Struthio camelus: one gene and its partner. The protein of the gene in region 1 purifies or fractionates together with the protein of each later gene. This does not show direct contact. Links are inferred from orthologs where the notes say so. Each region holds a gene or a part of one and is shown on either strand. Other genes may lie near its edges.

The links.
Region 2: the proteins of MAP3K5 (region 1) and MAP2K3 purify together in Homo sapiens (co-immunoprecipitation; 4 studies listed by BioGRID and IntAct, with this or other methods). This does not show direct contact. The link is inferred for Struthio camelus from reciprocal best matches to the Homo sapiens genes MAP3K5 and MAP2K3.

What each region holds. Positions count from the first base shown.
Region 1 is NC_090944.1:74,126,281-74,142,257, forward strand, and holds the start of MAP3K5 (mitogen-activated protein kinase kinase kinase 5), read right to left. Parts: upstream 7,932-15,977; 5' UTR 7,782-7,931; coding exon 7,352-7,781; intron 1-7,351. Other genes in the region: PEX7 (peroxisomal biogenesis factor 7), read left to right, coding at 15,062-15,182. UniProt on the Homo sapiens protein: Serine/threonine kinase which acts as an essential component of the MAP kinase signal transduction pathway. Plays an important role in the cascades of cellular responses evoked by changes in the environment.
Region 2 is NC_090956.1:4,367,926-4,384,494, reverse strand, and holds the start of MAP2K3 (dual specificity mitogen-activated protein kinase kinase 3), read right to left. Parts: upstream 6,871-16,569; 5' UTR 6,765-6,870; coding exon 6,749-6,764; intron 2,771-6,748; exon of another isoform or gene 2,756-2,770; coding exon of another isoform or gene 2,743-2,755; intron 1-2,742. Other genes in the region: protein NATD1, read left to right, coding at 12,054-12,150. UniProt on the Homo sapiens protein: Dual specificity kinase. Is activated by cytokines and environmental stress in vivo. Catalyzes the concomitant phosphorylation of a threonine and a tyrosine residue in the MAP kinase p38.

The DNA of each region.
Region 1 (15,977 bases):
ACACAATTTGTTTCACTCTGCTGTCACTTGTTACATACATGCAGCCTTCTGTATTGTGCTTTTTTACTTTAGAAAGTGACTAAAAAGAGAAGTAAACTTCTTAGCACGGCTGCGGTAAATTCAGGAGTCATTTCTGTATGACACATCCTGTTCAGAGCTACAGAAATGCAAACTGCAGAAAATCAAGCAGTCAAAGGCTTCCTTCTGTGTTACTCTCAAAAAGCATTTACCTACCTTCAGCCAACCTTTCTTTTTTCCCACTGGAGAAAATACTTGCCTGTTGTCCTCTCACAGAGCTGTCTCATAATGTGTTTTACATCTCTACCAAATTTAAGAGAGCACAATAATTTCATGAACTGCATTTCTTCCGCTGCTTTCACGTGCAGTGCATAGTATTTTATTACACTCTTGCACTTATCCAAGCATCTCACTGATACCACTAGGAGATTTAGTAAATAAGCACTGCAAGAGCATACCCATATTATTTGCATTAGAGCACCAATTGGAGATTCACACCAGCACCAGGGCTTCTGTGGCCAGGGCACCCCTGCTAGAGGCTCCGCAAGCCTCTGGGCCTGGGAAGAGCCAGGAGGAAGCTCGTGCTGAGCGACAGAGCTACAAAATGCTAGGAGAGGCCCGTCGCAAAGTCTGAAAGAGCACCCAGGTCTCCTAGGCAACGTTATCTTCATACTTCGACTGTGCTCCTCCTAGCTCACAGATAAACTAATGGGATACTAGTTTTCCACTCCCCTATTGACAGGTAGTCTAACGGAAGTTATGCATACGGTATCAATATTGGAATCTGCTTATAAAGTTTACAGCTAGGCCAGCAATGGAAATATTAATCTGTGAATATGCTGTTTCAAATCCTATGATTTCCGCACAGTGTAACAGAAGTTCTCTGATAGCACTAGCCACGAACAGACAAAAACCTTATGGCAGCTTTTTTTTCCACATTCATCTTTACCTGATTAGTTTTACATGTAGACAGCATTCAGCTGCTCCATAACAAAACAATGTTTTATGCTGAAGATATTCCATGCATTTGTTTTCAGTTTCTAACGCTGCCTCCTAGCAGGGTCTGGCGCTCAACAGCCAAATTTCAAGGGGGCTTCATAACCCACCCTTTTCTGAACCCCATGTAATGGTAACAACATATGCTATGCACTCAGACACAAAGCTTCTGTACCATAATACCTAACACCCCTTACTTATACATCTTCGAGTCTGGCTGTATCATCAACTCCATTCTGTGCACCATCTGCACTAAGTTACTTGGTATTTCTTGCTCCAACTCATCACTCACAACACAGCGCTTAAAAAAAATAATAATAATAATCAAACCTCTTTCAACATGAATTCCACTGACACTGCTACTGGATTTACTTGTTTGGTCTTTTTTAAAGTAGTTGCCCCTGACTCTGAAATTGGACAAGAATAATGCATCAGGATAATTTCTCCTGCTATGTAGTACTAACTACTATTTCATACAGTGACTCTCTAGGCATGACACTACAGAAAGAGTAGTTATTTAGCAGCAGATGCGGTGGGGGGAGAAGCGTCCAAATAGTAAAAAATGCGATGGACGCAAGTGCTGCGTATTCACAGAAGAATGTGCAGCATCTCAAGTGTCTGACGAAACTCTGCTAGTGAAATTAAACAAAAAAAAAAAATCAGGAAGTACAGAGAATAAATTAGTGAAGAAACTAATTGTTTTGAAAGAGAGGCAAAGTGGAGTGGAATAATACTCGCAGTTACTCTCTCTCTGGTACTATAAACAGCAGATGCTATGGGAAGCATGCCTTTTTGCACCACGGAAAACATTTAAGTCAACTTCTTGAAATCAAGAAAATAAGTTTTTAAAAAACACGCCTTCCTTTGAGTATAAGAGGAGAGCCTGCATTGGTATGTCATAATCACAGAACTTCCAGGAAACTTATATTAAGGCATAAATCACTTAAAAAAATATTTTGTTTGACGCCTGAAGTGCTTAGCATGCTAAATAAAAGATTCTTGAAATTTAGCATCTCTAAAGATAAATAAGAAGAAAATGCCGGAATGCAGATGAGCTCTGGTACTGCTCTACTTCATTTCTGTGTGCCTGTAAATACTTCAAGGCATGATCCACACAAGTTGTGTGAAGCATGCAGAAAATAATTTAGATGCAGAACATTTTCCAGGCTGAGTTCACTTTTACATACGCGACTGCACTGACTCTCTGAAGATTTGTCTTTTGGGGCCAAGATTCTCCAACTACATTGCAGTAAGTGTTTTCACGTCCAGTGAGCTGGCACCAACTTTCTAGCCCAAACCCACATGAATTCCAAAAGCAATGATGCTGAATTCCAGAAACAACAATATGAAGCTAAATCTATTACCTGTTATTTGATAAACTCTATTATCTTATTAAATCATTGCTACTATGGGGAATTATCTCAATAGCTCCAAACAGCATTGCAAGGGCCATTGATCCATGAAGCATGAGTGTAAAAAGCTAAAGTGAAAAAAAAAAAAAAAAAAAGAAATCGCCTAATATAACACAATAAAGTTACAAGGAGATATTTATATAACAAGCACATCAGTCAAGATGTTTAGCTTTAGAATAAGCTTAAATGAGTGCCTGCACAGATGTGAAACCCCAGATCCTCCTCAGTCGTTGACTTTGTGATCTTTCTTACCGCCCATCAGTTCCTCTGTGAGACTGCACTCAGAGTCTGCAGAAAATTTGATATATTGTGCTTCTGACTCTCATAGAATTGCCATTCTTCCAAAGAAATTAATTTTGCTGAATACCAGGTGAAAACGTTCTATAGCTTTATCTGGCAAGGCAGACAAGGAGGTGGAACGTACACCTGACAATACTAAGCAAATGGTCTATCTATGCACTAAAAGCAGTCAGTACAAGTGTCTGCACAAAACAATGACAGAATGCTGCTAAAATGTATCTCTAACTCCTCTGAATCACATCTAATTTCTCCCAAAATTATGAGATTTCTTACCTCTTTGAGAAGAAAGAGCAAAATCTTCACCTTTATACTACTGTACTATACACATTATTCCAAAAACCTTTCTGTATTAGTTGGCTTGGTTCTGACACTTGTACACCACTTATTTTGTCAGTCAGTTGAGCATTCACCCTTAATTCACCCTGTGCTGTAGAATCCATATTATTTAAATGTCAGATTACAAGTCAAATGAGACATTCCTTTAACCAACTAGACAAAAACAGGTGTAATCCTAAAAGCCTATGTGAAAAACTCACCCTGACTTTGAGCATTTCCCTCTCATGAGGGGCTTACAAGAACAGATCTGGTAACCCAGATTGCCGATTTATGTTTATTTTCCTTTATGGTCCTTGTTACTTAAAAAACAACAACGACGATGACAACAACACTTTGTTCAGTTAGTCCATGATGTATTTGCTCCTGTATAATACACAATGACCGTTTAAAAATCTGCATAGAAAGCAAATCATTCTAATTTCAATGTCCTAAAAAAGATTATGTGAAAGACAAAATGAATTGCTTACATAAACTAAACAAACTATGATTAGTCTATATTCCTTTATGGCCAAGTTTTCAAAAAGGAACTGAGCATTCAAAAAAACATTAACCGAACATGCGGATCAGGTTATTTTAATGTACCGAACATACACTTGAACTATGAATAATAATGGTTATAGTCATATGGCGTTCTAAAAGTTATTATCTACAGCGTTATATAGATAGGTTTCTCTACCTTATTATTTGTTTGCATGTCTTTAACTACTCGGTTCTCTAAACATTCCTGAACCATTTGGAAGTGAAGCTGATGACAGAGACCTATAATTCAACTGCAGCAGCTCAATACAACTGAAAAAAAAATTAATCTGAATACTCTCTTTATGGATAAAATAAGACCCTGGGACAGCTGGTCAGCTTCAAATACTTTGAAATTTGCAAGAAATCAGACTAGATTTTCTCTTTTCACCTTAGTATCTAAGGGGAGGAAAATACAAGAAACGCTGAAGTGTCTATTTTTGTCAGATACTTTTTGGCAATAGTTACTAGGGCTGATTTAACACTTGCTTCTTAAGATTCAAATTTTTTCCGGAATCAAGAGGAATTTAAACCATGCAAGCACAAACGCTAGTATAGGCAAATTCTTAACTATTTGGTGCTGGAATGGTTCAACTATACATAACTAAGACCTACTCACCAATCATATGCATTGCTAATTATGTCTCAGCATTTAAGGACCATCAGTTGACTGAAGCTGGTAGAACAAGATTATTAATAGGCTAATCTACATTAGAGCGGATGAGGAGTATTTACATATGGGATTAGTTTTTATTTAATACTCCTTCAAGTTCTCTTTGAAGTAGTGAAAGGCATGGAGTAAACCTACATCCGAGATCACCAAGAGTTCAGACTATGTTATACAAAGCAGAGACAAGATATTAAAAAAGGAGAGACTGATGATGGACAGGTATATTATACTAGATCTACTGCCCCCCCCCCATCAAAGTTGACTTGCATGCACTGCAAGACTTGAGAGGTTTTACTGTTTCATTTAATTCTAACAAAGTTACAAGCTTGATTTTCCAAACCTCCACACAGTCTTTACCTACTTTTGTAAGTCCAGTAAGACTTGGTCACTTGAATAAGAGTCAATTTGAAAACATTTGTAATGATAAATCCTTCCGTGATGTTAGGTCATGCTGTACTATTTAAATAAAATGTTGTGCATGAATATAATGTACCGGGCAGAGATTCTTTATTTGTATTACTACTATCATCACCTTCAATCACTGAAAGCACATAGCAAGAGAGAGGACAACAAGTGAAATAGGGAGATAGTTGATATGTACTTGTCACCTACATATGCTTTTTGATTTTGTTCCCAGTTTAAAAAAAGAAAAAAAAGTCTGTGCAAGAGTTACACCCTGCTCTCTATTTGCATTCTTCAGCTGACATAGCCTCTACTTTTTAACGCTGTCTTGTTCCTAAAATGATAGTTATTTTTTACTAGCTTAAACTTTCCAGAGAACAACTAGTTCTTAGAAATACGTACTGTACATAAAATGTGGCAGGAATAAGGAAACAAGTACGAAAACATTCAGATCTTTCTAGATCCAAGTTCCAACTTCAAAGTCAACAGCACAAAACAGTTTTTGGATCACAGCTGGTTCATGACTCCTCGGCTCAGAAGGTATGGAGTATACTGGAAGCAGATACAAACTCGTTCTCGTGTCCTGCTCTTTTCAGCCCATGATCTGGATGTGTCTCTCAGTTTTTTGCATATTTATTAGGCTTAGCTACTAAAGCACAATGGCAAGGTATTTTTCCTGTTTTGCAACACTTTGATTAAGTTCCCATAACCAAGCAGTACTGAAAGAAAAAGCAATGTTTTCAATGTTAAACAGCTTGCTCAAAAGCCATTGAAATAAGCAATGTTATATTACATAAGCGTGCAGTTATGCAGTGTTATATGCCAGACGCCTACTGGCAGAATTCAAGGGGCCCACTTTCAAGTCAAATCTCCCGTTACAAGAAAAGCCTCTGTGAACTACCGAGACCCAAACCGCTGTAGAGTCCAGAGTGTAAAAACTAACAAACATACGAGGCACGCACACACAAAAAAAAAAAAAAAACAAGACACAGATAACCCAACCGTGTGAGCGTGTTATGATACCGCTTCCATGGTGAAACAAAATGAGACCCTCAGGTTTTAACTGCCCACCAATTAACAAGTGTCAGAGTTAAAATCTGATCTCTCTACTCTGTACGGGGAGAGGGTAAGAGCTACACTGGAGCGCTATTTCTTCCCATTTCCATTCGCTAGCATAGCCCCTTCCACTTCTGAAAACATTAACTCTCAAGGCACAGTGCTGTCGGAGGTACAAGACAAGCAGCTACACACTCCAAAACCGTCCGTCTCTCACTGAACTGAAAGCAGTAGTCCAGGAGACAAAGCTTCTGCAGTTTCAAAGAAGTAACATGCATATGCATGTTCATGCTGAAAGAATCTTCTGTGGAAACGGCCTACAACCCAGCTAGATTCTTTTCTTTCTTTTTCCCTCCCTCCTCCAAGACGGGAGGGAACTCCTGTATTAGCCAAAACTTTTAAAGTGCCCATTTGCCAGTGTATTCCACACACACAAAAACACACCATACAGTAGGCTTAGAATTCTGGGTCAAGTCAAGTTGCTGCTTCTATTTTTTTAAGGCAGGAAAACATTCATTCGGTAGTATAATTTTTCAAGTCTTTACAAATCTAGTAAGCAGCTGTTTTTATTCTCCATTCATTTTATGTATCTGCTAACAAAAAGAGAAATACAACAGTAGGAAGCTTCGGGCTATTATTTAAAAAATAGGGCCAGGTAAATCATAACAGATAATCTAGGGTCACCATGGTTTCAAATTAAGGAGCTGCAATTGTATGTTTATGAAAGCAGGCAGACGGGTGAGAGGATGCAGCACAGGGATGTTGTTGCCAGCTGACTGGATCAAGGCACTTTGTTCTACCCCATCCATCATAAACGTTGTATGCAACCAATATTTGAAGTACGAACTTCCAGGCACAAAAAACACACAGAGTGTCCCAATTACGCTGAACCTACTGCACAAAGCTGCCGAGCCCTTGCAGCACCTAGGCACTTCAACCGCAGCTCAGCACTTCAGCAAAAACCTGCCCCTCCCCCCCGCGTTTTTTTATGGTGATCGAGAAAAAGCGGTCAGGTCCTGCTTTATGCATAGGTTAAAAAAAAAAATGTACAAGTTCTTGCAGTCCTGACAACTGCTGATTCACAGCACGCTTGCTGACACGGAGTTTCTTCTCCAAAACACGTTGGCGGCGGGGGGGAAGCACTTGGCATACTTTGGCAGCAGCGAAGGGCCCGGGGGGAGCCGCGGCACCGCGGCTCGGCGCCAGCCCAGCGCCCAGCACCGCAGGGGCGGCCGGGGGTCACCGCCGCGTTTGGGGCGAAGGGGGGGACGAGCCCCCCCGCCCCCGGCTCCCACCCCACCGGCGCGCAGCGTTCCCGGCAGCGGCAGCCCCGGGGCCGCTGCGCCGAGGGCTCGGCGACCCGAGCTGACCCCGGGGGAAGGGGAGGGCGGCGCCGGCTGCCGCCGCTCCTCGGGGAGCCCCGGGCAGCCCCGGGCTCGCCGGGCCCCTCCCGCCAGGCGGCAGCGGGAAGGGGGGCGGTGCGGGGCCGCCGCGAGGCCTCGGCCGGAGCCGCCCGGGAAGCGGCGAGCCGAGCCGAGCCGAGCCGAGCCGAGCCGCGCCGCGGCGGTAAGGCAGGAGGGACGGCGGGGAGCGGCGATAGTAGATCGGGCGGGCGGGGAAGGGGGGGGAAGGAGGGGGGTCTCACCTGCGTTGTAGAAGCGGTCCAGCACCGCCGTCTCGCCGAAGTCCAGCTTGCCGAAGTGCAGCGTTTCCAGCGTGGCGCCCACCACCTCGCACGCCTCCCGCAGGCTCTGCAGGGCGCCGCTCTCCGCTGCCAGCAGCGGCCCCTGGCTCGCCTCGTTGATCACGTAGGTGACCGCCGTCCGCCTGCCGCCGCCGCCGCCGCCACCCTTGGCCCGGGCCGCGATGCCCGTGCCGGCGGGGCAGGCGGCGGCGGCGGCGCTCTCCTCGCCCCACAGGCTGCCGGCCGGCAGCGCGGCCAAGTCGGGCAGGAGGCTGCGGGCACCGCCGTCGGCCCCTTGCGCCCGCCTGCCGAGCCCTTCCTCGCAGGGGGGGCCGCCGCCCGCGGCGCTGGGCACCGACAGGCTGATGATCCCCTCGCTGCTGTCACTCATGGCCGCGGAGGAGCCGCCGCGGCGCGTCCCGGGCGCTGCTCCCGCGCGGGGCCGCGGTTAGGCGGATGCCATGCTGCGCCGCCTGCCCCGGCACGGTCCCGGCGCCCCTGCGCGCTGCTGCCGAGCTGCCGAAGGGGAGAGGCGGCCGGGCGCAAGTGAGGGGCTCCCCCTCAGAGGTTAGCGGAGGCTGCCGCAGGCAGGGAGACGAGCACAGCCTCCTCCGGCGCCGGCCCCCGGCACCATTGCGCGCCGCTCCCTTCTCCCCCGCCGCCGAGCGGCGTCACCTGCCGGGGCGGCCGGGCGAGCTCGGCCCGGCCCGGCAGCGCGGTCCTGCTGCCGCCGCCGCCGCCGCTGTCCCCCCGCGCCTCGGCCCCCAGCCTCTGCGGGCGGGCTCCGGGCGAAGTTGGTTGGCCGCCGGCAGGAACCACTTGTGGGATTGCTATTAGGCGTCCCCGATTTAGCCGAGCGACAGCTGCAAAGCTACTCGCGGCTCGGGCAGGGGCGGCCCGCAGCCACCAGACTCCTCCTCCCGCCCCGCCTCCGGCCAGAAATAAAGCAGCCCTGGCGGCGCTTTGGGCACTGGGGGCTCTTTGGCCAGTCGGGCGGGCGAGCTGTTCCGCGGCTCCGGGGAGCCCGGGGTGGGGGGCGCGGCGGCGGCAGCGGGTTTCGGTTAGGTCGGAACGGTGCTCGGAGCCGCTCAGGGCAGCGGTGGTTTTTGCCTCACGAGAGGGGAGGCGAGAGGGCCGGCGTCCCCCTTTGGAGGGGGGAGGGGGTGCCGGCGGCGGTTGGGGCCTCGCGCGTCCGCTTCCGGGCTCGCGCCAGGCGTGTGGTAACGGCCGGCGCGGGCGGTTGGGCGGGAGGGAGCAGAGGATGCCTGTCAGCCGGCGGCCCTTTCCCCGCTGTGTTCCGCAGAGCTTTATTTTTAATACCGCTTGTAAAAGGAGCCTGCGTCGGGCAGGGCGAGTGTGCTGCTGGGTTCGGGTTGTGCTTCCCCCCACGCTAACAGCCGCTGAGGTGAAGCCGGCCCCGACTTGCCTGAGGTTTTAATACGCGCTTTCACTTGCAGATGTTAGTTTTATGCAGGCAGGGGCTTATTTAAGTTAAACTAAGTCATGTGTAGTGACTCGGCATCAGCCTGATCCCGTGCTCTGAAAAACCGAAGGGAATTTTGGCCTTTACTTCAGGATAGTTCTTGTTGCCTTTTTTATTTTTTTTATGCACATCTTACTCCTAAACCCTGATAGTCTAGTTAAGTGAGTGGCTTTGCGTTTTGTGCAGTTAAGGGTTGTCAGGATTTAATAATCATTAACCCTTGTCTTCTACTCTTCTTCCTGTTTAAACTTTCCTCTCTTTGTGTTCCTGGATGGCCTCAAGTTGACTGAAGGTTTTGTGGCTGCCTGCAGCAGTACCCAGCTCATACTTCTTTTTAAAAGTGCCATACTGAAAAGCTACTCTGTATTTTGCTTAAATATATTGCATTGTTGTGTTCACCTGGAACTTGTCTTTCATGAACACTTTGGCATTTGATATTTAACAAATACTTCTTCATGGAAAAGCAAACTAATCTGAATAACTAGCATATCACCAAAAGAAGCGTTAATCTGGTGTAAGAGTCTTCCCAGTCAAGAAAGAAGAAAAGATCCCTTGATAGTTGAAGTAATATATATAATAAATAATATATAATATGAAAAACTTGCCTAAAACTTGCACATTGTTTGCAGGCCAGGAATGAATCGCTGAGAAATTCAAAATGGATTTGAAAAGGAAAGGAAGTTGAGAGTTTTTGCAGTCTGTTTCTGAACAAAAATACAGTGAAATCCTAATGATTGTTAGATTTTCTTTGGATTGGAGGAATTACATTAAGTAGATCCAGGAAAAGCATGGAGGAAAAATAGTGCTCTACATATTTATAGCTATGTTTGTTTGTATTATCAGTAAGTCCATCCCATTACAATTCATCTTGTTGAGACTAATCATCTTGTTGGCACTGAGCCTGTTCCTCTATCGTTGTTTTCCGTGACTGCTCTAGACAGAGGATCAATTCTGGAATAATTAAGAAAGATTAGTCACTGCAGTACCTTCAGTAGCCCTGTTTGCTTTTGCGTCGATCAGTCCTTTTTTCCAAAGAGATATGCCTGGCATTTGCTTCTGCTGATAACACATGGGTAAATGGGGTGAGAAGACGACGAGCAAACTAAAGACCAATTTACAGGTAGAAGTTAATATTTGTTAATCTGCCAGATACAGTAGGTTATTGTTTCTGGCTACAGTCAGGATGGCAATCAGTGTTTTTCTAAATAATGTAGTTTTCCACAAAACACAGAATCAGTGTTAATCCATTCAACGCTACAGTTGCATCACATTACAGGAAGCAAGAACAATATGTCTCTGTGGTGTTCTTTAGAACAGCCCATGTTTGTCAAGCGCAGAAGGAAGTCATGGACTGAAAGAAGGAAGAAGCATGCTAATTCACTTAGCGTTACTGACTTGTGAGCCTCACTTCATTACTAATGCCATATCCCTACCACGTTCAAGATAGCTCTATTGATTTGTCTGGGGTTGAGGCTGGGCCCTTAACTGAAAACAATTAAAACACTGATTAATATGGAATAGTAGACACAAATTGTCTATGCTTTTATAAAGGAAAAGCATATTTCTTTAATCTGCTAACTCCTTGAAGTGATGATTCATATGTTTAGGAGCTCTTCAATTTAGAAGTTTGATTAGAAGATGATCATTCAAAGGATTTTTTTTTTTTAAAACGGAAGTAGTATCCCGGTTGTTATCAGAAGTACGCTTAGCTTGTTCACTTTGTTTTCTGGGTGCTGTGCAACTAACATCTTTAGCACTAAGTATGGAATGTGGCCCTGCTTCCACTCTGATTTTTTCTGATGACAGAACTTTTAACAAGCAGTTAGATGTAAAATTGTTGAAATAAGAACCCTTTCTTCATTATATGCTTTTACAACCATAAATCATTGACCTCTGGATTTAACCAAATTATGATTTTCAACATCCAAGAATTTGGATGTTAGTTTCAAATATAAATGCAATTATTGGTAAGTGTCAAACAGTGTGTGACAGACATCAGAGATTTGATTTATTCACTCATACTAGTAATAACGAGACCCAAGTCAAAAAAGGGTAGTTTCCCTGAGCGTGTTCTGATTTACAGAAAGTAAACCTAAAATACATGTACAATGAAAAACGCTCTGTCCGACTTACGTTTTCAGTGTGATACGGCCTTCAACATCCAACAAGGCTGGCAGAAAAAAGATTCTAGAGTAACATGCCCGTTGAGTTTTCTTGATGGTTATTGGGTTTTAAAGCAGATGCTAAATTTCATCCATATTTTAAGACCCTCTTATTTAACTATACGACAGCATACAAAAATGAGAGATTAGAGATACGCTGTAAATTTTTCACTAATAAGCAGGAAAAAAGGAGTTTGCAAAACCAGAGTCCAATGTGCTTGAATTGTGGGTGGAAAACAGAGTATATAAAGAAACTTGCAGATGCAAAAATCCAAACAAGAGATCTTGAAAGTACACAAACTAATCCTGTTTCCATGAGCTTTAGAACAGAACTCTCACAAGCAAATAGATACGATCACTGAAATAAACAAATTGTTCTTAAAAGTTAAATCTTCTACCAAATGAAAGTTAAATATATCACTGTAGAAAATCAGAGGTATCCTTTATGTTCAATATGGAGAGGGCAGCATTTTGCTAGCAGAGTGCCAGCTGCCAAGTTTAAAAAGAATGGCAAATGCAGGATGGAACTAAACATTTAAAGCAGTTCTTAAGTACTAAGAAGCTGGAAAACAGAGACTGGTGGTCATTCTGCAGGGATGCAGTTGATCGTGTAACAGTAGTAATAGCATGATAAATTCACTTATCAAATGATGGCATGGCCCCCACAAATGGTAATCAGCTAAGACTGATGGAGCAACAAGGACACGTGGTGGGGGGTGGCTATTTCATCAGTTATTACTGGCCTTGAAGCCCGTGTATTGTGGAACGACAGACCAAGTGTAGTGAAAAATGTGCCCGTGGCAAGTCTCACGCTTCTTGCTAAATCTCCCTGTCTTTCTTCCTCCCTTCCAATGTGTTTCCCTCTTCTTACTTCTATTCTTTCAAATCCCCCAGGACAGCGTCCATGCTAACTGCCTTGTCCTTCTACTAACCTCGCTTTCCCCGTGTGACTCTGTATTCATTCCTGCAACCTCCTTTGCTTTCCCCTTTCCCCAACTTTCCCTTGTTTACTTTCACTCTTGCCTATTTTTGCAATCTTACCATGAACCTTGAGACACTAAATGCTTTTCTTAAAGCTTTGACTCATAGCCCCTATTGATTACACAGGAATTTCACCTGGGAAAATCTCTACATTCCTATTAGTCAGTTAGCACTCACTATCGTAGAAGAAACTTGATAGCATGCAACCTAGTGGCTCTGTAACTAGAAAGCAGAAAAAAAGTCTCCTGCAGTCCCTAAGTATTCTTAATGTTTTAAACCACCTATCCTCACAGCTAAGGGAATAGTTCACAACCTGCTTTCTCCGGAAGAAAAACTCTCGTCATAATTCCTTTCAGTACTTGGACTAGTGCCTTCCTGATAACTGTTTCTGGCAACCAGCGAGGTTTTTTTTAAGGATTTGTATATACAGCAGTGATCGTTACCAGCTCAACTCACACCTAAGCTAGCTGTCAGTGAGCAAGCTGAGGAAATGGTGGAGATATGTCTGTAACAGAACAGAGCTCAGCAGACTGGGAAGAAGGTAAACTGCGTGCAGAGATATTGCTGTGAGCATCCCAACTACCTAGTCTAACTCTAACAAGGGAGATGGCTTAGAGAAGTGACTGCAGGAGGAACGTAACTAAAAGTTATATGCTGATTAAATGGGAATTTAGTTCAATGAAGTGCGCTTGAGTTAGGAAAAAAATCTCAGCGTTGTGAGGGAATTTTTCTCTCGAACTGTGGGATCTCAATTTTTAAGTGGAACATGGCTGCCACCTACTGATGCATTCTGCATACACGTTTTTATCTCAACTTTGGTGAAGGGCTGGCTGTTGGAACATTTCTGTTCTCATCTTTCATGTTTCTTGAATTTAGCTCACCTGTTTCAGGAGGAAATACAGTCACGTTTAGCAGTTTTGTTTGTTGGATCTTTCTCTCTGCTTGTCAAACAGCTTTTTCTTCAGTTGTTAGTGTATCTGCCTTGAAGTCTTCCTATGTAAATACTTTTACTTGGCATATTATTTTGCTTCCTACTTCTAGGGATCTTAAAAACCTGAATTCACAAGCTTTTCTGTGAAAAAATGTTTAGGGAAGTGTTACAACAAACTAGGTCCTTCTTTCAGGATTTCTTTGTAACCCTCTATCCACTTCTTGATATGTGTCTAATTTTTTTCTGAGTTGTCTTTAAAACAGAGCTGTGCCAGTCGTAAGGACAGCTTCCTGCTTGCATAACCTCTTTGTGGAATTTTATTGATTCTAAAAGATGAACTAGATTTGTCGGCTACTTTGAAAATGCACACGATGAAACTTTTCCAATACTTGGATGTATGCGTGGTAACTTGTCCATAGAGTAGCTGGAGATTACGCCACCGAGTACTTGAACTCAGAGCAAACCTTTGCAAAAGGCCACGTCCAGATTTACTTAGTATACCACTGCAGAGGGTATATATCTTTTTGAATGGTATTATTGACTTTGCAGTCACAAAAGACAATTACTTTAAAAACACCTGCCAAGGAAATTGCCTTGTGATGTGTGCTTCCAAAAGGCACATTGATTTAAAAAGATTTCGCAGAGGCTAAAGTTGGTGGAATTCGGCCTGCAGCAGTCAATTCAATAAGGCATTGTGTTTGAGTGTTAAAAAAAAACTCTGCTTGAGTGTTAAAAAAAAACTCATCTCAAATGATGTCTCTCAGTAATTCCATCTACAAATTGGTAGTTGTGAGTATAGGAGCTGCTGTGAGCTTTTGTGCTTACTATAAGCACAATGATATGCTACATTGAGCTTCACTTGCACTGTTTGGATTGATTTTATTCTAAAATCCTGGAGGCTGTTTGATAAACATATTTGTTTTCATTTTTATCAGGAGATCAAATAATTAGTAAAACCGCATAGTTCAGTGATCGGAACGTGAGTGTCAGTTTAAGGAGTTATATATTCATGAGGCTTTACAATAAATTTTGTAGTTTACAATAGGTTTTGTAGTTTAAATTTAAGGCTGAGGAGCAGCCTGAGTATGTAGTTACCTTCCAAGCTCCACGAGGTGACTCTGATTAAATTGTCTTATTCCCCTTTGTCTTACTTCCTTCATGTGTAAAATAAGAATTTCCTGTATTCATCTCTACACATTTAAATTGGTCATTTTAACTTATTAGGGTAGCCTATGTCCAATTGGAATCATCTCCATGAATATTTTAAAGTCCTATATCTCACATAGGATAAGATATATCAGAAGTTGCAGCTGCTGCTCTGCTCAAATATTTTTCTTAGCCCGAACCCCTCCTCCTTTCAGAGGCAAAACTCCCACTAGCTTAATAGAAGTTGTCATCGGTATGAGAAAATTTGTTTGTTTGTTCATGAAAGAACCTCAATAAAGCGTAACTGCCTCACAACAAAGAATGATAAATACATGCATACTGATATACGGAGATCTACTCAGCAAATGACAGACTGAAATAGCTTGGAAGAGCTTTTTGAAAGAATGACAATATACCCACTAAGATCAAAAAATCACATTTATTCAAACAGAGAACGAGGTGCTAAGTATCTTACATGGCGTATAAAAGAAAGGACTGTCCACGCAGTTTGGAAATCTTTTTCTCTAGCAAACATAGTTTTACAGAATTATCACAAAACAATGGGTAGTCAGCGCTCGGAGGCCTGGTCCTGGTCAAACGACCTTTGAGTACATGAATCACGCAGGCATAGCTGTCACTGCGCGGTAGTAGCGAGTAGGACGGCCTAAAATTACGGCTTGTCTTTGAAGAGACCCGAGAAGAAAGCCGCAGCGGACACGGGCCACCGCGGACACGACCCGGCCGGCCCCGAGAGGACCCCGAGGAGCGGCGCCAGGAGGCGGCGGCAGCGTCACGGCCCGCCCGCCTCCGCCACCGCCCCTGCCAGCACCAAAGATGGCGGCGGCGTGGCCTCAGCGCCGCCCCCGCGCTTCCAGCCGGGCGGCGCGGGCGCGGCGAGGCGGCGCGGCGCGGCGCGGCGGCGCCTCCTTCCGTCCCCGCCTGGGCCGGGGGGGGCGACAGGCCGGGCCATGGGGGCGCCGGGCGGCCGGGCCCTGCGGCTGCCGGGGCTGCACGGCTACGCGGCGGAGTTCTCGCCCTACTGGCCGGGGCGCGTGGCGTGCGCCGCCGCGCAGTACTACGGCATCGCAGGTGAGAGGCGGGCCGGGGGGGCGCCGGCGGGGCTGTCCGCCCGGCGGTGCGCGGGTTGCGTTTCCGGCGCTGTTACGTAATGAAGAACAACAGCAACAGCAACGGAAGAAGTGGTCTGGCCTGGTTACCTGCGGGCGAGACCGCTTGCGTCGAGTCGTTTCGCCCTCTCGAAGCGTCAGGGCGGGGGCGGCCGTCGCTGCCGCGCTCGCCTTGCGGTGGTGGTTGGCCGCTCTGCTTAACTGGAAGCAGCAAGGCTTGGGTCGGTTGCTGTTCTACTGTTTATCAGACACAAGGTCTTCCTTTATTACGGTAATTACGTCTGAAGAGCAGGTCAGGCTTCTCTGCAGTGATTGCCGTGAAGCGGGTGGCCCGCGCGCTCACGAGCTGTGAGCTGAAGAGCCATGCAAACGTTTGCTGCCTTCAGAGACCGGCAGTCCGTGAACTGCGCGCCTGTGTGTCTGCACGTGTAGCAAGTGGCTTGCGAAGCATTTTATGTTTTCCCTTTCTCTTGTTTTTGCTTCGCGTGGATGTAACTGATGCATCTGTTCTCTTTCCGTGGAGTACAGTTAATTTCAGAACAAGCTGCAAATCTGATGCTTGCCCCGAAGTCGCCCACCAGCTAGGTTTTCCTACTTAAGAAAATAGAAAACAACTTTTTTAAAAAAAAAGTCTTCTTTTTCCTTTTTTTTTTTTTTTACTTCTAATAATAACTTCTCAGAGGAGTACTGATTTCATAGGAGTTGGAGTAAATGCATAGTAGAGGAGACAAACATAGGTTAAATAAAGTATCTGAAA
Region 2 (16,569 bases), on another chromosome or scaffold:
AAAACTAAATATTTGTGATGTACAACATAATATTTTGCAGGTACCCAACACTTTGGCTGTCAGAAAGCAGCCCATTCCCAACATAGCACTAGGAAGAGGGTAGGAGCAAAGCCCTGCTCTCTCTCTTATGATGGTTATAATTAATCAGATGCAAGCTACATAATGCTTCAACAGAGTTAAAATTAAAACCTGACTTCATGGGTTTAGCACTCCAAGGCCGCCCCACACATTCGTGCATGCACACGCAGAGGACACCAGGCTGCCGGCTGCGCTGCCTGGATGCGGAGGGAGCCTAGAGGCGAATCCCCTGTTCCTGCAGGCTTTGTAGCAGAACTGGCTTTTTTGGAGTGGCAGCAAGAAAAGTGTGAATAGTACATAAGACACTACAGGATTCACAGCCGACTGAATTGCATAACCGTGGGGTACTCTGTGTGGAGGGCACAGCCTCGGCAGAGCCAGGGATGCAGCAGGGACTCATCCATGCTGCTTATTTACCTTCCCAGAATAAATGTTTTACCAGAACAAGCACCAGTTCACTCCTGAATTCTTCCATTTCTCACTGATGATTTTTCCAAGCCTTGGAGTTAAAGGAGAACTGCTTTCCCAGAAAAGCAGCCTGGCTTCAACTGGATGCTGTTCCCTTTCCCCAAGGGCATAACATGTCTCCGAGCACCCTAATTCACAGCTCAATTGCAAATCCTCACGCTGAAGCCCAGCACATCAGGAAACGCAGACCTGCTGCTATCCAAAAAGGGAAGTAAAAGCACGTGGCTGTGAAGTGCAGTGGGTCACATCCAGGCACCTAACAAGTTACTCATGTCTTCCTGGAGGAGAATTGCTCAACTAAAGAGAAGAACTTGCTTTTGAGCTACTTCAGCATTGGTGCTAGGTGAGCTCAGGGGAGGACAAACAGGTCCCTTCCCTCCAGCTCTCATCACTGCATCCTCCCTCCCTGCAATTCTGCAGCTCCAGAGCTGCTTCCTGAAGCAACCTCCCAGCATAGCAGTTGCAGGAGACACGCGCCTGCCCCAGGCACGTCCAGCCTGTCCCACCAGGAGGGGGCTGCCTGGACTTCCTCGCTTAGGTACCAGGGTCAGGAGGGAACCGAGTCACAGCACACAGACATAGTGAGAGCGGCTGCAGCTCTTCACGCAGGGCTGCACAGGCAGGCAGAAGACATGCCTTCAGCCCCAGGGAAAAATAGCAACCTGAATCTGTAGGCACACAACCTAAAACAACCTGTGCACCCTTCACCCTGCGTATCCTGCATGCTCTGCAAAGCTGAGGTTTCCTCCCCCTCTACTTTAACCTCTCAGATATAAGCTCCATCACTTCAGAGCATCCGTTTTGCTGGACAAGGTGCAGACGCTGTTGGAAAAACCATATCCAGGACCAGTCACACGTTCAGATTTGCTGCCAGTGGCTATGTCCCTTACAAAGCTCTAGAAGAAAGATACACATGCAGTTCCAGCACTTTGCATGTGATTCCTTCCCTCAATGCCAGCGATTTGGTAAATACAGCTCAGGCGAGTGTCGCTGACCTGAGACAAATGAGAGATTTTGCATATTTTAGTAAACTTTGGACTTAACAGTGCAAGATTACCCAGAAATAGCAAGTGATGCTCTCACACATATCTGATCCTGCAAGATAATTTGGATCAACCACACATGGGCAATGGGGAAAGGAATTAAGCTGAAATCCCTATCAAGCTCCACATAAGCCACACAAGGTGTTTATCTGAGAAGCTGTGTTTAGTCCAGAGCCGAGGAAAAGCTCCCTCGCCGAGCACCATTCCATTCACGCGTGTCATGGGCAGTCAGCTGCAGCTACACGCATCCCCAGAAACTCCAGAGGCAGAAGTCGATCCCATGACTAAGCCAAAAATGACAGCAGCTGAGTATTTGTACACATCTACCATTGAAACAGCCAACCTGAGAGCAACAATGCAGCAGCCTCCATTTATTATCCTGACCAACTTAAGCCTACGAAGGGGAAGCAACCAGGAAAAGGAAGCCCAAATCCACTGGATTTCCCTAAACAGAGATAGCTTAAATTCAGGCCATCCCAAAGGACCCCCAGAATGACTTAACATCAGTGCTGTCAAGGAGATGCAGTTTGTGCAATCCAAGTGGAAGCAGGCGCTCAAGACCTAAGGGTATTCACATGCGGCAACGCACGACTGGCGAGCCCCACTCAAAAAACATGTGTTTCTGAGGCCGAAGCAAAACCGAGGCCTGTCACAAGGGATGGCAGAGGCATGCAGCGACCGCGGTGGAGCGCTAACAGAACGAGAGAAGAGGGGTTTGAGAAAAGCAGATGCGTTATACATGTTCTGGATTGATCCCAATGCCAAAGCCTGCATCGATGGAGACAAAGGGAATAGACAGGAAAAGTGCTCAAGTCGGAGGAAAACCCAGAGCAGTCAATGCCAGCCAAAGAGAACTAGGGTACTCAGCACACACGTGACACCTCCACTAAGCAGTATTAGTAGTAATTGTATCTCAGGCAGGAACTGGTTCATTCCAAAGAATAACCCGCGCAGCCAGACACCTGCAAAGACAGAAAGGTTTCAAACTTCCTCCAAGAATGCATGTGCAGGTACCACACTCCCACAACGCTCCGACAGGCAAAACGTTTTTTGGTCAAGCACACAACTTCCTAGGAAATCCTTCCGGCACGGGCCTCCTCTCCCATGAGGAAAGAGAGGTCTCTCAGCCAGGCTGCTAAAGGAGAGAGCTCACCTCTTCCCTCCATCCACACATCTGCTGCTCAGGCTCACACAGCCCACGGCGCCTGCAACCCAAATGAGATCTGGCCTTGGACCGGGTCTCGACAGCCGTTTTAAGAAGCCCTGCTGAACCCTTCCCGTCTGGGAAGCCTGCTTGAACATGTGCTCTTACCTATGAGTCAGCAGCTCCATTCAAAACGATTATAAATCGCTGCTGATTCATACCCTACTTACACAGCAAACAGGAAACACAGGTCCACATTCTCTCCATTTAAGACATAGATCATTAAAAAAAAAAAAAAAAAAAAGGTCACATCGAGGTGTGTTCATCTGCTCACATGGTTCCTGACTTCAAGTTTCCTATGCATCACTCCAGAACAAGGGAAAAAAAAAAACCCAAATTTTATTCCAGTGATAAAAGAGAAGCAGCAAATCACACTTTCTGTGCTCTCTCCTCCCCGATTCTGTCCAGTCGTCGCTCACAGCGCTGATGCAATCAGCTACCTAGAGCTCTAAGGCATCAGCAAGGCAATTTTCCTGTCTTCCTCAAAACTTCCCCAGCAAGCTCATGGTGTCATCCCGGGCCAATACCTAGCAGACTGCGCTCACCTTAGGACGGCGACCAGGCCACCTTAGTCACAGCGATGCTCTATAAATAACATCCATGACACACAATCACGTTTGCCAGCCGCAACGGGAAACCCTACCAAGGTGCTTCTGACACACGCACATGTGTCAAGGTTCGGAGTCAGCGCCGGGCGTACCGGGAGATCAGAGCTCTGCCTCCGCCACCAAAACAAACACGCACGCCGCGGGCCGGCCATCCTCACACACTCGCTTTCCGTTTGGTTTTATTTCACCTCGTTACATTACGGGCTGCTGCTGGCGCCGCTCATCCGCAGAACGCCCTGTCCAAAGTTAACGACGAGGTTCGCTAAACCGCCACAGCGGTTTTCTTGGAGGGGGAGAGCTTCGCTGCTATCTTGCCCCCTGGAGCAGCCCAAGCAATGCAGCTGTGCTCGAGGCTCGGATTCTCCTCCTTCGACACAAACAGGCATTTCAACACTTCCATCCCCTTTAATTTCAGCAGGCTGAAGGCCAAACCGTGCTGTTTGTTCATGTTTTCCTCTAAGAAACACACACGTCCCAAATTTGGTACCTCAGGACGGTGCAGACAGGACAAGGGTGTAAGAACTGTGTCCCAGTGCCGAACCAGAAGAGGGGGACAACACAAAGCCAGCACATCCAAACAGCACAACATCCCCCAACTGGGATCAGGCAGCAGGTCACAAATACAGCTAACGCTTTGGAAGAAGCAGGGGAACATCACCTCCCATCTTGCCTCCACCATATAGTACCCAGCTTAGCGGTCTGGCCCTTGTACTGCAATTCAGGCTCAGTAAGTTTAGAACCAGTGTCGGCCTTGCTCAGTTTCTGAGCGTTCTGCACTTGCCAAGATGTTTCGACGGACAGAAAAACACGCTGCCCAATTGCTCCATCTGGTGAAATCACTCGTTTATCTATTCAGGCACCAACTTAAAAACAGCGAGTCAGTCCAATCGTTCCAACTGGCCAACAGAGCATTCCTGCCTACCAGCAACTTCAGATCATTTCAGCCCAGATCCTATAAAATCACGCATATGCTTTTAAGCACGTGCAAAGACGCAGCAAAATGGATGAGAACTGAGGAACCTCACGTGCATGGCCAGGTAGATCCACGTCTCTGATTCTGAATGGACAAGAACAGGGATGGTTGTCTTCAAGCTGTTTCCAAAGAGCTTCACATACTTTTGTTTCCGCATAAGCAACTTAATTACAAGGGAGGCAAGCCTGAAAGATTTTCTTTACTTCACCTAACAGAACTGCACTACCTATCAGCACTTTCCTGGCGGTACACCAAGAGTGCAGATAACAGGAAACTTATACACGAAAGATTAGGCAACAATTTTATATCTAGCATCCTATCTTCCCAGTTTACATAAGACTTAATTACTCCATTAAGCCTTAATTAAACCAATATTAAGACAAGGACCATCCAGTTGACACCTGAAAACTTGCATCACGAGGGGGGGACAACACGCTCGGAAAGGCCGATTACCTTGTCCCTAGCCCAGGCCGCGCCGGAGGCCTGCCCCACCACCTCTGTCAACAAACGCAAGGTCCAAAGCTGCGCCCAGACGCGCTCACCGGGTGCCAACCCCGGCTGGGGACATCCAGGCTGCACCGTCCGCGCGGGGAAAGCACGCCCCGCATCCCTGCTGCCAGGGGGGCCCCCGCAGGGCACCGCCGTCCCCGGGTGCCACCAAGACTGGGGCCACCGCGATGCCCGCGGCAAGTGTGGCACCTGGGGAGGCTTCCCGGCAAGGCCAGGGATGCTGTAGGACGCGCGGGGGGATGCTGTAGGGACGTGGCCAGGGATGCCGTAGGACGCGCGGGGGGATGCTGTAGGGACGTGGCCAGGGATGCCGTAGGACGCGCGGGGGGATGCTGTAGGGACGTGGCCAGGGATGCCGTAGGGACGTGGCCAGGGATGCCGTAGGACGCGCGGGGGGATGCTGTAGGGACGTGGCCAGGGATGCTGTAGGGACGTGGCCAGGGATGCCGTAGGACGCGCGGGGGGATGCTGTAGGGACGTGGCCAGGGACGCTGTAGGGACGTGGCCAGGGATGCTGTAGGGACGTGGCCAGGGATGCTGTAGGGACGTGGCCAGGGATGCCGTAGGACGCGCGGGGGGATGCTGTAGGGACGTGGCCAGGGATGCTGTAGGGACGTGGCCAGGGATGCCGTAGGACGTGGCCAGGGATGCTGTAGGGACGTGGCCAGGGATGCCGTAGGACGTGGCCAGGGATGCTGTAGGACGTGGCCAGGGATGTTGTAGGGACATGGCCAGGGACGCCGTAGGACGCGCGGGGGGATGCTGTAGGGACGTGGCCAGGGATGCGGTAGGGACGTGGCCAGGGATGCGGTAGGGACGTGGCCAGGGATGTTGTAGGGACATGGCCAGGGACGCCGTAGGACGCGCGGGGGGATGCTGTAGGGACGTGGCCAGGGATGCTGTAGGACGTGGCCAGGGATGCGGTAGGGACGTGGCCAGGGATGCCGTAGGACGCGCGGGGGGATGCTGTAGGGACGTGGCCAGGGATGCTGTAGGGACGTGGCCAGGGATGCCGTAGGACGTGGCCAGGGATGCTGTAGGGACGTGGCCAGGGATGCCGTAGGACGTGGCCAGGGATGCTGTAGGACGTGGCCAGGGATGTTGTAGGGACATGGCCAGGGATGCCGTAGGACGCGCGGGGGGATGCTGTAGGGACATGGCCAGGGACGCTGTAGGGACGTGGCCAGGGATGCTGTAGGGACGTGGCCAGGGATGCTGTAGGGACGTGGCCAGGGATGCCGTAGGACGCGCGGGGGGATGCTGTAGGGACGTGGCCAGGGATGCTGTAGGGACGTGGCCAGGGATGCTGTAGGGACGTGGCCAGGGACGCTGTAGGGACATGGCCAGGGATGCCGTAGGACGTGGCCAGGGATGCTGTAGGACGTGGCCAGGGATGCTGTAGGGACGTGGCCAGGGATGCTGTAGGACATGGCCAGGGATGCTGTAGGACGCGCGGGGGGATGCTGTAGGGACGTGGCCAGGGACGCTGTAGGACGTGGCCAGGGATGCTGTAGGGACATGGCCAGGGATGCCGTAGGACGTGGCCAGGGATGCTGTAGGACGTGGCCAGGGATGCCGTAGGACGCGCGGGGGGATGCTGTAGGACGTGGCCAGGGATGCCGTAGGACGCGCGGGGGGGATGCTGTAGGGACGTGGCCAGGGATGCGGTAGGGACGTGCTGGGCGATGCCTTCAGACGTGCCCGAGGACTCCTTGGAGCACAGCGGGCCACCTCTCGGGACGCGCCCGGCCCTGCCCCGCTTCGCGCCCCCCCGCACCCGAGGCCCGGCGAGGCCCAGGCCCCCGCTGCGGGCCGCCCCCAGCCCGCCCTCCCCGAGGCGGCGGCGGCGGCGCCGCTCTCCTACCTCTGGGCAGCGACATGGCTGGCGGCGGCGGCCCGCAGCATGCCCAGGGCACGGCGAGCGCCCGGCGGTGTCCGGGCGAGCGCGGCCGACAGCGGGGAAAGAGCCGCGGGGCGGGGCGAGGGCTGGCCAGGCACCGCCCCCCACCGCCGGAGCTTCCCTTCTATTGGTTGTCTGGAGGGAGGGGGCGGGGTTAGGGCTCGGAGAGTTTTATGGTTCTCGGGCGTGCGGCTGGAGGGAGGCAGGCGGGCGGGCGGGCAGAGGGAGGCTTTCTCCTCCATCTTGCCCCCAGCACCGTTGCGCCAACCGCCCCGTTGCACCGAGGCGGGGCTCGAGGCCGCTCGGCTGCCCCGGAACGGCGGCTCGGGGCTGAGGGGAGGCTACGGGGCCTCGGCGAGGCTGCGGCACGTGGGGCCGCACGGGCCTCCCTGGCTGCCGCGGGCCGTGAGCCACGGCGAGGCCTCGGAGCCTTCCTCCCCTGCTCGGGGAAGCCATCACCCTCCTCCTCCTCCTCGCCCGGGGCCCACCCGAGAGCCCCGAGCCCGCCGTCCCGTGCAGGGCCGTCCAGGGGCCCAGCACCAGCAGCCCCGGCCCGTCAGGCTCGTCGGCCCGTTCGCGCCACCCGGTCCCGCCGCCCCGAGCCCACGAGGCCCCTCGCCGCTCGGGACCACGGCGGGGCCGGACCGGCCCCCCCATCCGCCGGCGGGGGCCCAGCGCTTCGCACGGCTGAGACCAGCCAGCTCATCACGTTTCCCTTGGGACGGCTGCTCTGGGCGATACCCCTTGTGCCCCCGCCGAGCTGCCCCGGCCCAGCCCGGCCCGCTCACGCCGGCGTCCGATCCTGAAGGGCGGCTGTGTTTATCGCAGGCGCTGGGGATGCACGGAGGCGCGCAGGCCGGGCTGGGAAGCCAGCGGGAATTCGTTCCTCGCCCTGAGTCACCACAAAATTCCTTCAAGCCCAGCAATATGCCCGGGCAGATGCCGGCGGCGTGAGGGGGCTCTTCTTCTGCGCCTGCTGCGTTGCAGAAAGCAGTGGCTGAGCAGGACACGAGTGACGTAGCGGAAATGAGCAAAAAGCAAGTTGGGAATGCAGTTTTCTGGCAGGAATCCGCAGTGTGATCCGTCCAGGGACGGAAGGAGGGGTCGGAGAGGCGGCAACCCTGAACGCAGCCTCGGTGAAGTCGCAGCAAGCCCAGTTCCAAGACGTGTGTTTTGCGAAGCGTTTTGCATGGGTTCAAGGACTGGAAAACCTGTCTCAGAAACAGCGCACGGGAATCGCAGCAGAAGCGGAGGAGCTGGGTGGGCCGTGTCTATGCAAAGGAAAGATGTCCCGCCTCGAATGGACCTTTAATCCGGCCGCAGTGGTGTCAGAGCCAGCAACTGGAAACTGAAGCTAGAAAAGTTCAAATGGGAAATAAATTACAAATTTTTTAATGGTGACAGCAATTACCTTCCCAAGGGATGTAGTAGATTCACCACCTTTCCAGTCTTTCAACACAGACAAGGAGTCTTTCTAAAAAATATGCTCCTGTTCCAACCACAAGGTTATTAGTGGTGAAGCAAGAGCTACCGATGTCATTCTTTGGGCTGGGTAAGCAGGAGATCAGATCATCATGGACTTTCCTGGCTTTTAGCCCTACAAACCTCTGAATCAGCAGTTGGGTTTGAACTCCAGACTGGCTGATCCGAACAGGTTTGGGCTGGGTCAGTATTTGGGTGTGAGATTCGCTGGATGCCACTGCAGAGAGAAGAGCGCTCCTTTGCGCCTTAGCAAATAGGAGACTCCCTTGTCTCCAGCTGGAAGGGCACCTGCAAGGACCGGTGGGGCCGGCTTCGGCAACGTAACACCGGAGACATCTTGGCCGTTGTGCTCCCCGGAGCCTGGGGGAGCCCTTGTGAGCGCGGGGCGCAACCCTTGTGTCTAGGAGCACGTTTTGTGCTATGTGGTTCCTCCTCCTTTCACCACCAGGCACGGCAGGAGATTGCTGCCTGCTCCAGCCTGGGCTGCAATTAAAGGGGTGGATGAAACAATCGCCTCGTTTTATTCCTCCTCCTTGAATCACTGGGGAGTTTAACCAACAGATGTTTGTAACCTGCTCGGAGATCTTCAGACGCAGAAGCGCTGCAGAGGTATGAATGGGAATTTGGATGCGCTCAGCATGAAAATCGGACAGGCTGGCAAGGCACTGGGGCTAGGGAGAGAAGGAAAACTCATGAACCATTGCTAGCTGCAATGAGGAGAAGGAGAATGGTCCGGCCGGAAGGGCAGGAACAGGACCAGAGGCAGCATTTGAGGGTTGGTCATCTCCTCTTTGGAGCCAGGGCCCAGTTGCCTCTCATGGGCATCTTTCTCTTTATTTTGCAACCTCTAGGTGTCTGCCGGAGTTGTTTCTTTTGCCTGCAACTCCTCCTGTCTGTCTGAGCTGCTCATCATCAGATCCAACCGACTCACTGCTGGGTAAGTGTATCGGAAAGATCAGAGGGAGCTGTAATTGCTGGCCTGAGGCAGAGGTAATCATCACAGGCAAAGGCAGAGCAAAATGTCCCAGCAGAGCTTAAGCGTTCCCAGAAACTTCCGCAAGGGAGGTAGATTTTTAGCATTCCTGGAAGGCCACTCCACGTTTCGAGAATGTTATAGGTAAATCTGTGGATTTTGTAGGCTCTGGAAGGACGGAGGGAAAAGGAGGGAGGTGTGGGTCAGACCGCACTGAACACGCTGAGGTCCTTGCTGCTGGCGCTCGACGCTCTGCACTTCAGTGGCTGGCGGCCTCGCTGGAGGAGAGAGCTGGGGACTGTCCCCAGCCCCGCTGCTGTGGCGCTGCGCCAGGGCGGGTTTGAGAGCCGCCAAGTGTGCGGCGCCCGCACAGCCGGATGCAGCACCTGCCACGTCCCCTGTCACCGCAGAGCAGGGAAACCCAGCGGGGAGCTCCCCTTCGTCCACGTGCAATACGCTTCTCCTTTCCATCCCTTCTCAGGATCCCAGCCACGCATTTCCCCCGAGCCCCTCCTGCAGGCTCCAGGGCATTGGCACCCCCTCACAGCTCAAAGCCGGGTGCTGGATTTGGCCCCTGTCTCCACCTGCGCCAGGCTCCCCCATGCCCTTGAGCTCATGCCGCTCATCTTCTTCCTCCCCACAAAATCACAGCTGTGCTGGGCCCTGCTCTTTACAGCCTGTGTTTGGCTTCCCTTGCGTTCACGTGCTCACAATGTTTTGCCATCTTTATCTTCCAGCATCGCCATACGGCCTGGAAGCACGGGCTTAGCGAAGGCTGCTGGGAGGGAGTAATTGATTCCCCGCTCGCCCAGAAGGCCTGTAACAAAGGAAGGAATTGAACCTCAGCCACAGGCTTCCTTTCTCCCCGCCGAACCGCCGCAGATCTGCCTAGCGACGTGGGACGCATTTCTTAACCGCTTTGTGCCGTGACTTACAAAGGAGATCACACCGCATACCAACCACGCAGGCACGCCGTGAAAGCGGCTAATTTGCGTTTGTTAAATCTCTCAAGGTCACCGGCTAAAGAGCGCAGGAGAAGGACAACTTCACGTTACTGACATTTTCTAGCCTTTCACGTACCAGGAAGGTAACGAAGCCTTCTCCCACCAGAGCCAGCCCATTTCTGCAGCCTGGCAGGTACTGCAGCTCCACGGGCTCTGCTGAGCGGTGGCGCGCAGCTCCGGAGCCTGCGTTCAGCACAACGCCTTGGCATCAGCCCGGGTCCATGGAGCGGCATGAGCCAAATAAACCTGCTGGCCTGAGGAATCAATCAGTCTGTAAACTCTTGACTTCAGGGAGTAGGAACCAAAGGGATTAGTAAATGAAGGCCTAACTTCACAAGGCATTATTTAAGCGCAGACTACGCTGATTATCTATTCCACTTTATAGAATAATTCTAAATATTGTTACTTTTCCTATTATACAAACAGCCACCACCCTGCCCCACTGCACTAGCTGTTGCGCAAACACTTTCTATAGATGCAGCTCCTACCTCCAAAAGCTTTCAGTTCAAGGATACCAAGATTTTGTTGCTACGGCTCAACAAACAAGGAACCAGACAGCCTATTTCATCAACCAATTTTGCATATAGTGGATACACCGATTTCATTGAACAGACTCTGATTTACACAACATGGTGCATGGAAAGTCAAGTTCCTTATGTTTCAAAAGATGCAATTAATGCAGCCATCCCAAATACACTGTCTATGGTATCTGTGCTCCCCACACGCATGCTCAGGTGTCTGTGGTATCCTGTAACAGCCAACATACACAGTTTCTCCTGCTTTTGCAGCCTGCTTGTCTCTCAGGACAAGCGCCCCAAGAAGCTGGACACCCATGCAGCACCGTTTCTGTAGCCAGCCCCTTCGGGAAGCCTCGTGGTGTCTGTGGGGTTTTCAGCGCTGCCTACAAACGCAGCCTGGTGTTGCCCTGCAGCGGAGTGTTCCCACAGCCCACCAGCATGCGGGAAAAGGCACCGCGCTTCTGGAAAGGGGCATCACGTGAGGTGCAGGAATTTAGGGTTTGCACCATACCCCAGAGCAAGAGTGAGTATGCTAGTAGAGCAAACCAGTGCAGCACCAGTACACCACCCCAGTGCACTCATGCTGCACCAGTACACCTCTACAGAGTACCAGTGTAGCACCAGTACAACCATGCAGGACCAGTACGCCAGTGCAAGGTACCAGTGCAGCACCAGTACAGCCATGCAAGACTGGTGCAGGTCCAGTACACCAGTGCAGAGCACCCAGCACAGTAGCAGCACAGCAGCGGAGGACTGCCCAGCAGAGCAGCCCAGCACCAGCCCTGCACTGGCACACCAGTGCAGAGCACCAGTACAGCACCAGTGCAGGGTACCAGTGCAGCACCAGTGCAGCTATGCAAGACTGGTGCAGGTCCAGTACATCAGTTCAGAGCACCCAGCACAGCAGCGGAGGACTGCCCAGCGGAGCAGCCCAGCACTGGCACACCAGTGCAGAGCACCAGTACAGCACCAGTGCAGCCGGCCAGAACCAGGACTGCCGAGGCTGCTGGGGCGCGCGGCCCCTTTAAGAGCCGCCCGGGCTGTATCAAAACAAACGCGCGGCGCGGCCATTGGCTGCGGCGCGGGCACGTGGCCGCACAGCTGGTTTCCTGCGGCCGCGGCGCGGCCGTGTCGGCTCCAGCGGGCGGCAGCGGCGTCCGCCCGCCCCGGCTCGCGGCTCCCGGCTCCCCCCGCGCCGCCGCCGCCGCCGGCTCCTCGGGGCAGGGCGGAGCGGGGCTCGGCGCTGTCGCGGCGTCGGGCGAGGGGCAGCGCTCGCCGCCCGTGCCGGCACCATGGCGCACTCGGCCCCGCTCGGCCTGCTGGAGCAGAGCTGCCCCATCCGGGTGGAGCACGACCGCAAGCGGCGGCAGTTCACCGTGCGGCTGAACGGTGAGGGACGGGGCGCACCGGCCCCGGCGGCCCCCGGCGCCGCCCGTCCTGCCCCCGGCGCTCCTTCATCCCCCCCCTGCCCCCGACACTGCCTGTCCTGCCCCCGGCGCTCCTTCATCCCCCCTGGCCCTGGCGCCGCCTGTCCTGCCCCCGGTGCTCCTTCATCCCCCCTGGCCCTGGCGCCGCCTGTCCTGCCCCCGGCGCTCCTTCATCCCCCCCCGGCACCGCCTGTCCTGCCCCCGATGCTCCTTCATCCCCCCCTGCCCCCAGCACTGCTTGTCCTGCCCCCAGCGCTCCTTCATCCCCCCCTGCCCTGGCTGCCCCTATCTGTCCCCTGGTGCTCCTTCATCCCCCCCTAGCTGCCCCCTGTCCTGCCCCCATGCTCCTTCATCCGCCCCTGCCCCCGGCACTGCCTGTCCTGTCCCTGGCGCTCCTTCATCCGCCCCTGCCCTGGTGCCCCCCGTCCTGCCCCCGATGCTCCTTCATCCCCCCTGGCCCTGGCTGCCCCCATCTGTCCCCTGGTGCTCCTTCATCCCCCCCAGCTGCCCCCCGTCCTGCCCCCGGTGCTCCTTCATCCCCCCCGGCCCTGGCTGCCCCCCCCCCGTCCTGCCCCTGGTGCTCCTCCATCTCTCCCGGCCCTGGCTGCCCCCCCTGTCCTGCCCCCGATGCTCTTTTATCCCCCCCTGCCCCTTTGCCCCCTGTCTTTCTCCTGATGCTCCTTGGTGCCCCTTGTTCCCCCCCCCCATAGCACTTTTCCCCTTGGTTCTTTCCCCTGTCCCCCCACCCCCCCAGTTCCCCCCCTTTCTCCCCTGGTGCCCCTTTGCACAGGTCCCCCCTGGGCTGGTTTCCCCCCCCCCCCCCCCCAGGGCCCCTGGTGCCCGCCGGGCCCCATCCAGCAGCTCCTGGGCTTTCTCAGCGCACCAGCAGCTCCCCCTCGTTGAGGGGGTTTGGGCAGGTTTTAGGGGCTGGTTTGGCACCCTGTGGGTGCAGGGACCTCGGGTGGGTGGCGTGGGGGTGCTGTGCCAGGGCAAGCATGGAGGACGTGCCTGATGTATGAGCCGCTCGGTTGCTTTTCAGGTAGGATGGAGGGGGGTGGATTCACGGTGGGAAAGCCCCTCGGAGATGGGAACGGGCCGTGGTGGGAGTGCCCACGTGGTCCGGCAGGACTCGCGGCATGGAGCCGAGCTCCCCTAAGCGTCCGTGGGACTGGGGCCCTCCAGCCAAGGGAAAGTGCATAAGCCGAGCTCGCAGCCCGGGAGGAGATTCCCATGCGGCAGGTACCGGGTCTGTCCAGTGTCTCGCAAGCTCTCGGCAGCGGACAGGGAGAGCTGGCAGAGCCGCTCGTGGGCCTGGGGCAGCATCTGTGCCACCTGCGTACGTGGGCTGCGTGGCTCCAACCACAGCCCCTGCGTTTGCATCCGCCCCTGTGGTGCAAGTGGGTGACGGGGCGTCAGCGTTGCCCGAGTCCCTCTGGCCAGCCCGTGCCTCTGTAGATGCTTTCAGACTCTGGACTGTGAAGATCCGGTGACGTGACAACTCCTCTGAACAGCCTTGTTTTATTTTTTGGAGAGGCTGAATAAAAAAGTAGGTGCTGCTGAAATTTCTCTTTAAGCAGGCTAATTCTTTTCCAGCCATCTCTTTAATGGTTAATTCCAAATATACAAAGATCTCGAGGTTTTTCTTGTCCATTTGTCATGTGGAAAGCTACTCTGGGGAAAATAGGCAATTTTACTGCTCTACAGAAATTGCAGGGTAGTTGGCCTTTTTTTTTTTTTAAAAAAAAAAGGGGGGGTAGCTAGTTCAGAAATTATATACACAGTAGGAGACATTCTCAATAAAACAACAAGAATAGTCTGGATTTTATTTTAGACTTTTTTTTTTCCCCTCCTTCAACCACTAATTACAAAGTGTAGGCTCGAGGCTCAACAATGGTGGAGCAAGGAAGGAGGAGACATGTATGCAGGGTGCGGAGAAACCGATTTCACCAGCTGCTTATTTCAAATGGGAAGAGATCAGACTAGGTCCCAGGTGATGAGTCCCTGCTTGACATAGCAAGAGCTATAAAGCAATGCCACTCCTGGAAAGCTTATATGTGCACACGAAAAAAAGAGATCGAGGAGAGCTAAGGACCAAAAGTTTCTAGGGTAACATGATCTTTTTATCACAGTTTAACAAATAAAATCTCTGCCAGTCAGATCACTCACTGAGTGACCTGCAGTGACTGGGCAGGGGAGAGTTGGGCCTTGGAGAGGGTGAACTTCAAAGTGGGGAAAATCACCTGTTGATACCACTGAAGTGAGTTGGCTGGTTTCAGCCGGCACAAAACTCTGCTTCAGGAGGGGACTGCCTTGGCTCAGGAAAGTCATGGACTTCCCCAGGGCTGCAGACAGATCCCAGGGGTCAGGCTGTTTTGTTTTGGTTTTTTTTTTTTTTTTTTTTTTTTGGTGAGCTCAGCAACCGAGTGGCGGTCCAAAAGCTTGACTTGATGTTTCAAACGTCCACTCTTAATAGTGAGCCAGGGATGCTGCTGGGTACCATCTCTGTCTTTGTGCAGCTCAGGATAGTTTGCAGAAATGGAGCATCGTTAGAGCTGCCCGGCGACTCAATGCTGGCTGCGTAATAAAGCAGAGCTGGGCAGGACTGCAGAGACTGGCGCAGAGGTATTCGGGCGGCTGGGTTGACCAACATCCATGCAGTGTGGATAATCTGTCGCTCCTTGTTCCTGATAGGCATTTGCTGATAACAACCAAACCCTAGAGTGTGGTCAAGAGATAGCCGTCCCCGTGAGAGTGCAGGGGTTGGTGTTTGTTTAGTAGCTCCGTTCATTGCTCCTGTTGCTGGCACGAGGAATATCAGTGGGACTGAATGCTCTTGCAGGTTTTCCTTGCTGGACTGCAGGGAATTACTAGAAATGGGCCAGTCCCCAGGTTGTAGCTCCACCTTGACCTGCTAGCCAAGGAGTCAGGCTCTGCTGATCTCTGGGTTGATGGCTTGGTGGCCTGCAGTAGTGTGATGCTAGTGTTGGAAAACTTTCTGTGATGGTATTCTTACGGGAATCTCCTGTAACAACAGGCCTGAGACACCACAAAAGCTGTGAAACGCTTATGAAAGCGTTGGTACTCAGCATCACCTCTGCTTCAGCTTTGTGTTCCCGTTTGTGCTTCCACGTAACCTCATGTCAGGACTACCTCCTCATATGTGAGGAATATTAATTGTTTGGTGTGTTCTCCGTTGCCCCCGTCTTTCTCTTCCTCTGAGCTGTCATTGGTACACCAGGTTTCTAAAACTGATAGAAACAGCTGTTTCCTTTTAACAGATTGCCTTTTCTGTGTGTCCCAAATGCAGAAGCACTGAGAAGCTGAAAGCAAAGCTGATTATAACCAGACCTCACTGAGCTTCATTATCCCTTCTGAGAGCAGGGCAGAAAGTAAGAAGCCCAGCTGAATTTGTAGTCAGCGAAGATGTGGCTAACAACATGAGCTAGCCAGAAAATTACCAATGCAATGACTTTGTTGGAAAGCATCAGTTTGTCAAAACTGAAAACTTCCACCGGAATCTTATAGGCCAGTTTTGTCAGGAAAAGTTGTGTGGTGTTTTTTGTTTTGTTGGTGGTTTTTTTTTTTTTGGATACAAGATGAACAAAGCCAAAACAAGAAACCAAAAGAGACGACTGCTGCCCCGAATTAGCCAGCAGCTCATTCCGCCTGCTGGCGTGGCTGTTTGGGGCAGGGGAACTGTGCTTTTAGCGATGACCTGTTAGATTTCAGGGTGTCCATCCAATACATCAGGCTTCCTGCGGTCAGGAGATGGGCTTGCAGCACACACAGAGTGACTCTGTCTCCTCCACGATGTCTCAGGCTTCTTGCACGTGTGCACTCCCATTCATTCAGCACGTGGGTGCAGCAAGTCACGCTTCCCAAACATCCCACTCCTTCCCCAGCTGCTGGGCTTGGGTAGGATCCAGTTGCTTGAAGCTCCTGGGCTTGGCCTTGCGCAGGTCCTGCCTTCGTGCTTTCCTCCCCGCTGGGGCACTCACTTGCCAGGAGGGGAAAGCTGCCTTGTTCGTGCCTGGGGAAAGGGGATCTGTTTGCTGGGTGCTTTGTATCGAGGTGACACTGCTCTTCTGCCATGCCACGGTCATGTCAGGAGACCCCCAAAACCAGATAGTTGCTTTCAGCCAACCCCTACCAGCCACACCACCGTTTTGCAAGTGAGGCCCATCGCTGACGGCTGTGCTGTCTCCGCTCTGCGCTGTCTGTTGTGGTCTGTTGTGTTTTCTCTCCGTAGTAACGTGCCAGTTGCTTGGTGGGGAGCAAGGCCAGCTCGTGGCACGCGGTGGCCCCCGGCCCGGGATGTGAGCGCTCCTCGGCACAGCTTGTTCCTCTTAGCTGGCCTGCGAGCTTCCAGCGGTCACCTTTC